Drosophila melanogaster: one gene and its partner. The protein of the gene in region 1 interacts with the protein of each later gene in a pairwise test. Each region holds a gene or a part of one and is shown on either strand. Other genes may lie near its edges.

Region 1 (3,196 bases):
TCCAATGGAACTCCAATAGACTTGGCTTATATCTTCACTTACTACTAGTGGATGTTCTTTTGGCTATACAAATTTCATTTGAAAAAGATGTACCTTGATTGCTTTCATAAATCGTACTAGATTGGTTCCGCTTTAAAACATCCATTTCGCGGCAAGTTCATTTGGTTTTAACTTCATATCGTCACTTTGCATAGGGGACCGAAGAGAATCGGGCACAGGGGAAAAGTGAGCTTGTGAAAAGTTGGCAGCACACAACCCCCTACCCCACCACCACCCACACGGTGATCAACTTCAAATTTTCACATTACCATCGCACCGTAGAATGTTTGATTTTCACCGCTTAATTTATGATTTAATTGCATATTTGGCGGTGCAATGCAAATATGCACCCCTCTGTGGTTGGCCTGCAATGCCACGCATTTCATTTAGATAACCACAAATATTTGCCACAGAACGCGTCTGCCACCAGAGGGCCAATCGGGCGTGAATAATTCGGTGCCAAATGTGAATTATTGGTGCACCTGCACATTAAGGCAATTAAATCAGAACAAAAAGACCCATGGGACATGATAATTTGTTAACTTCCCGACCAAATAAAACAACAGGATTCTCTATTCTGTTAAGGACTCTAATTAATTTCCAGGAGCTTTTGTTATATTCTGTTCGTGTACGCTCTGTTTCGGGGTATTCTTAATATCTGTAGGCTTGGCGGTTTCCCAAAGTTTAGCGGTTTGGCGAGGATCCAAGAGTAGACATCAGTTCACCAAGGCGTCGGGATCGCAGCGAAAACTGGTTTCCCTGGCGTTTCAGAATGCCGTATTCGACGCCATCGCGCAGGTTGACTTGCACTTGGCGATAGAACTCCGGATCGTTGCGTCGGTACTGGACGCCCAGGACGAAGTTCAACTCTTTGTCACTCATGGGTCGGCGCGTCTCCTCCAGGACGCGTAGTATGGACCTCAGTAGGTTGGGGACCAACTTCCGCTGTTGCGGCAGTGTGCGAGTCCTGTAGGTGACGGGCATGGTAGTAAAATTTTTTACATTTTTTTGTTGACTTTTTTATATTCCTTTTTTGGAAACCAAATGTGTAGACAAATTTTGCGACCGACTCGCCGGGCAGCCTGAGTCGTTATGAGCTCGGGAACGAAAGCCCCAGATACGTGTGACAGCAAAAAGGCAAGCCAACTACATGAATTTCCTGACTGCTTCGATCCTCGAAATTTTCACATTATCATCACTCCGTAGAATGTTTGATTTTCACCGCTTAATTTATGATATAATTGCATATTTGGCGATTCAATGCAAACATTCACAAATATTTGCCACAAAACGCGTCTGCCACCAGAAGGCCAATCGGGCGTGGGATTCGGTGCCAAATGTAACGTTTAACGTTGGTAAAGCACAGTTTCGACTAATATCTGACTTTGCAGGATACGGATTGCGACCCTGTTACAGCTGCTACTGCGTCGATTACCCGGATGTTCAACAATTGGCAAGGCCCTCTTTACGTATATAATTAAAGTGCATACTTTAAGACCGAGATGTATATATGTGTCCAAACGCTTTAGCCGCCGTTGCACAGTACAAAAAGCCCCATGGAACATGATAATTTGTTAACTTCCCTACCAAATAATAACCAAATAAAACAAAAGGATACACTGTTCTGTTAAGGATTATTCTTCTTATCTGAAGTGTGGGTTTGGCGGTTTTCAAAGGTTCATCGGTTTGGTGAGGATCCAAGCGAGCAGCGAAATCTGGTTTCCCTGGCGCCTCAGAATGGCGCTTTCGATGCCATCGTGCAGATTGATTTGCACTTGGGCAAAGAATTCCGGATCGTTACGTTGGTACTGGCTGCCCAGGAAGATGTTCAGCTCTGTGTCAGTCATGGGTCGGCTAGTATGCTCCAGGACCATTATAATGGACTTAAGTAGGTTGGGTACCAACCGACGTTTCGGCAGTGTCGTGAAGATGTCGGCCATGTTTAATTTTTTTGTCGTTTTTTTTTGTGATTTTTTTTTTTTTTTTGGGAAACCAAATGTAAAAGTATAGAAAAATTTTGTTACTGACTCAACGGCTGGCCTATATCGTTATTAGCTAGGTAGGGGAACGAAAGTCCCAGCTATTTGTGACAGTAAAAGGCAATGCCAACTACATGAATTTTCAGCCTGCTTCGATCCTTGCTTTTTGGCCTTCTTGCCGGTGTGCTTCAACAGCATGGCCAATTAATCAGATGGCGACTGTGGCGGGTTGAACTTGAATGACCTCGAGGCATAAAAACGAAAACTGCAACAACAAAGGCAACAGCCAGAAAAGCAACAAAGAGCAGGAAACACAGCAACTAAAGAAAGGCTGATCGAGTTGATAGTGTCTTCAATAAATTAAAATACCCACTAAAGTATCTTGATTTGCAAGTTAAAGTGCGCCTCTTATTTTGTAACTTTTAGATTTTGCGTTGCAAAAATACATGTATATTTCTATTGCATCTTTGGGTGCAACAATTTTCCGAGTGTAGCCAGGAAGCGAAGGGCCCACAAACATCAAGTGACATTCGAGCAGAGACAAAAAGTCATTATCACGGCGACGTCGGGCCGCTCTCATCTCCACATCTCCGCATCTCCACCACTCGTGCCCACGATCTCGGCCATATATACATATATGTATGTATACCCAGGATCCCCTTCGCATTCGCATTCGCATTCGCCTCATGTTCAGCATATGGAGCACGTGGTTTGGAGTCATAGTCATCGCCATAGTCGCCACCGTCTTTGTCGCCATGTTTTTTGCCTTTTCCGGCATTTTGTTTACGATTACTTTTTGTTTTTGTGCTTTTACGTAGCATCTGTGCAGCTCAGGAGTGCATTGAAGGGGGATCGGTGTAATTTGAGTTATTGGTTGCTATACAGTAAAATATAAAGGGCAGTATTGAGCGAAAAGAAGCCGCCGGTAATCATAACAGTTTTAAGTTTGTGACAAAATCGTACACAGCATATTTGCTGAGATGTTTTACTGTATAACTAATTTAGCCGAAACTCTTCGTTCCAAGCACTAGGTATCGTTTAGTCCAAACATCAATACGATAACTTTCTTATTTGTTTTATTTGGCGTAGAGTTCTCTGCGCTCCCCAGCGTACGCGGATTTCCTTTCGAGATGGAGTTGGTAGACGGCAGTTTTCCCTGAATGATTTTCACTTGTTTG
Region 2 (4,080 bases), on another chromosome or scaffold:
CGATGTTTTGGAACATGCTCGAGCCACTGGATCGCGACTATGCTCGACGAGTGCGCCCACGTCCGCCTTCCTGTCAGACAACACCTCAATACTATGTCACCGATCGGGCGATGTATAGCTTTGGCCGAGCTGATCGACCGGTGCAACCGGACGTTGTCTGGATCCGGAACATCAATCGCTCGCCAGACAATAAACTGGAGCGACTGTCGTTGCGAAACTACCATCTCATCACAAATCATACCCTGGAGCACCTGGTGCAGTGCTCTCCGAATCTGGTGTATATCGATGTTAGTGGCACCAGCATTACGCTTCCGGCAATTCGGCGCTTCAAGATCTCCAAACCGAAATGCGAAGTGGTCGCCAATCACTTGGAGGAGTTTGAAAGACTTCCGGAGCTGGAGACACAGGAAGAGGATGACACGGTGGTGGTGATGCTGCAGCCACCGCCGCGCGCCGACGACGAGCAGCCACCGAAATCGCCACCGCCACAGGAGGTGGTGGCTCCTTAGAATATTGTTTGTAAAGATTCCGTCGAAGTGGGCCGTGCTGGATTATTTTATTTTTTTTTAAGAAAAAAGACGACATGGCCAAGCCGATGGATCCACAACGCTGGCTACAAGCGAGTGCTGTAGCTCAGCCATCTAGTATTACGTTTGACTATTCGAGTCCTTGTAATATATACACGCCAGGCTAAACGCACTGTATAAATCAAAACCACAATTCAATTCCTTTAGCTAGGCATTAAAAAGAGCGCGCGAGATCCTTTTGGTAAATATGTATAATGAAATGTTTATTTGGTTGGTATGTAGTGGGTAAGGACAGGCCAATAGTTCGGTGACTCGAGTTAAAAATGTATGTAAACTGTATATAAGCGGTGTAAAATGTTTACTTGTCGACGCCATCCTCCTCTTCGGCATCCGACTCGTCCTCGGTATCTTCCGACTCGGTCTCCGATCCGCTGGAGCTCTGACAATCGGCAATCTCGCCGGTGAAGAAGATCACCGCCTTGGGAATCACGCGCTCCTTTAGATAGAAGCCCACCTCAAAATCGTTTTGCAGCATAGCCTGTGGGAGGAGATGCATGTGAAAGGATCGCAGATCGCTGATATTCAATCTTACATTGACGTCACAGTAGTTGGGGTCAAGGGTATCTTCTGGCAAAAGCGGCGGCGAGAAGAACTCAAAGAACGACGGCTCTTGATTTTCTGGTCAATGAGTGAATTCAACTAACATCTGTGAAATTTGATGCTCCCAGATGGCTTACCGGTTTTGGTCTGGTCCTTGGTCTGCTTCCAGTCGATGACGCAGCCTTCGCACTTGTAGATCTCGGCGCCATCATATGCGAGCGGATCGTCTGGATCCGGCAGGCAGTTGAGGAAATATGTCTTGGTCAGCACCGTGTTGGTAAAGTAATCATTGGGATCGAAGTGGAATTCGATATCAAACTTCACCACGGGTTCGTTGTACAGCCGAGAACGGATGTCGCTTAAGCACTGCGCGGGAAAAATTTCAATTAAAATTTAAATATCCTTCAAATCGGATCTATCCATAACATACCTCTAATATTTTCTCATCCCTCTTGCTGATGAACTCGGTGTACGATGCTTTGAGAACCCTCAGCCAAAAGTTGGGCACGCTCTGATTGGTTTCCACGTCGCCGTGGTTTTGCTTTCTAAACTCACTGCACCGATGGGATTTTTGGGGGAATTGAGATCTTGTTTAACCAAACACCATTAATGGACTTACTCTAGAATCTTCTTGCGCTTATCAAATATGATATTGTGCTTATCCTCGTACTTCTTCTCGATATTGTAAATGTCGCGCTGCAGAGCCACATCCAGGTTAATGGTCTCCAAATAGAGCTGCTTCAGTTCGGTAAGAGTTTTCTTCTCCTTCTCGGTGAAGTTTAAATCCGATTCCATCTTCGGTGGAGCGGTGTACTTCATCCGCGGAGGGTTTCGATTTCGCACAGTTTCCATTTATGTTTCGACACGATAATCAAAAGAAAAATAAAAAAAATATTTCTTGAAGTGATTTGGTTTTGTTCAAGTATAAAATTTGGACGTGTGCGTTTTCGCTGTGACTGCCGTTGTGGGAATGAAAAGTAGCTCTATCAGTTTCCCAAAACTCCCAGCACAAAAGGCAAGGCCCGCTTTTCACTAAAGTGCTGGAACTAACTAGATGTACTAGAAAATATTAAGCAATTTATTATTCTTTTTTTTTAAGCTACATTTTTAAACCCTCGTGTTATTGCTGTTTTAGTCACCCCTTTCGCCTTACTTTGCCCATTGAGATGCAGGCCATGTTTATTGGCAATTTAACGCACATTTAATTCCTGCTCTTTTCCTGTTTATATATTTTTGGTTTCCCCAAAATTTTTTGTTTGCTTCCGCCAACTTTTCATTTGGCATGTAATTAAGTGTGGGCCAAAAGCTTGGACTGGGTGCCGCCAGCCTGGCCTAAGTGTATGCAAATCACGTGCTGAGTGCTGTGCCGCCAAGGGTTCAGGTTCAGCCATTGCCATCGCCATCGCCATCGCCATCGCCTCCTGGAGTCTGTTAAATGGACCGTGGACCCAGTTTCTGGTCTATCCGAGAGTCGCTTGTCTTTTGTCGCTGGTTTTAATAATGTGGGCCAGGCTTAGTGCCATATGTCCGGCTGTGAAAAACAACAGAAAAAAGTGAAAAAAAAGAGTGAAATTGTCGCTTAGGCAAACATTTCAAAATGAAATTATGAGTGGGCCAGTGGCGGCGGGCGAAAAAAAAGTGTAAACAAATTCAGCCAAGCGGAAGTCCAGACACACACACACACACACAACAACGCACACACACATCCGCCAAATGAAAGCCGCAGAGGATAAGCGGGAAAAGCGGGAGATCGCATTGTTGTGCGCTGTTGAATGTTTGCCCACAAATACAAACACACACGACACACGGCACATGCACTTGTCCAGTCTCCACAGGACATCCACCACTCGCTGCTCTCATATTTGATATTATTAAATTTTTTCCCTAAATACCGCTGGGAAATTAAAAAGAAATCATAACGCAAATAGTGTAAGGCAGCCAGGCATCTGATGATGACGGCTCTGGCTGGCCAATTTCCACATTTGTACGAGTGTATGCCTGCACTGTGCAAAATAATTGGTATGTATATATATTTCACGTCATTATCATTAGCAGGAATGGAATATGCAAGATAGTTAGGTATTAATCCAAATGAGATGGAAATCGATAGTTGGGAACTAATCAAGATCAACTAATCAAGGACTCTTCAAGTGCACAACCATTTAAGCTATTCGGGCATTTTCAATTTACATTTCGGTCATTCAATTAGGCGGTGCATAAAATGTAGCTACATAAGTAATGGAGCAGCCCCATCATCATCAGCATCATCAGGATCATTTGGAGGAACATGGGGACCATGGCCATCACCCACGTGATTGCCGCTCGTCGGAGGTCGTCAGTGCCGGGAGCGTCAACATAGTTTGAATTTAATTAAAACCAAAATTAGTAGAGCCCAGCAGAATGGAATGGTTTGGCGCAGCCCGACCAACCGGAGCAACAGTTACTTGGCGCAGGGATTAAAGCTCCTGCTTCAGCTCCTTCCTGGCAAAAGTGCATGTCTGCAGAAAATCGAATCAGGAGCTCAACATCCTCATCCACGAGCCAGGCAACCTGGCAGCCTGGAACTCCTACGTTTCCACCTGCTCCTGAAACTGAAGCAACGGCGCCATGCCGAAATATCTGCAACAAAAGCATAAGATGTAGTGCGGCATTTGATGATGAAACGACGTGTTAATTAAGGTCATAATAATTCAACTTAAATTGAAAACTTGCCCGGCCCCAGAAACGCAACCATGGCAGGGCATGGCACTCACTAACCATTTTTGGTTGGTCGGGCATCGGGCATCGGGCGAAGGGCATCGCATCCTCGGAATCCTGGCCAGGCTAAGCTGATTGCAACAAATTATTTTGCACCTTGGTTGAACTTTCCTTGAGCTGCAGGCAGCATGGCGTTCATAAACGAATTTTGTTAGTTTGCTTTGCTTATTTTAAATGGAACTAGGTGGTGGCCAGA

Evidence for each region.
Region 2: the proteins of CG15577 (region 1) and mil interact in a two-hybrid assay, tested with the Drosophila melanogaster proteins (one large-scale study listed by BioGRID).

Annotation. Positions count from the first base shown.
Region 1 is NC_004354.4:4,275,884-4,279,079, forward strand, and holds CG15577 (uncharacterized protein), read right to left. Parts: upstream 1,118-3,196; 5' UTR 1,024-1,117; coding exon 724-1,023; 3' UTR 610-723; downstream 1-609. Other genes in the region: CG15578 (uncharacterized protein), read right to left, coding at 1,710-1,979.
Region 2 is NT_033777.3:27,910,467-27,914,546, reverse strand, and holds mil (milkah), read right to left. Parts: upstream 2,101-4,080; 5' UTR 1,980-2,100; coding exon 1,747-1,979; intron 1,682-1,746; coding exon 1,558-1,681; intron 1,494-1,557; coding exon 1,265-1,493; intron 1,206-1,264; coding exon 1,120-1,205; intron 1,066-1,119; coding exon 886-1,065; 3' UTR 762-885; downstream 1-761. Other genes in the region: CG5003 (uncharacterized protein), read left to right, coding at 1-509.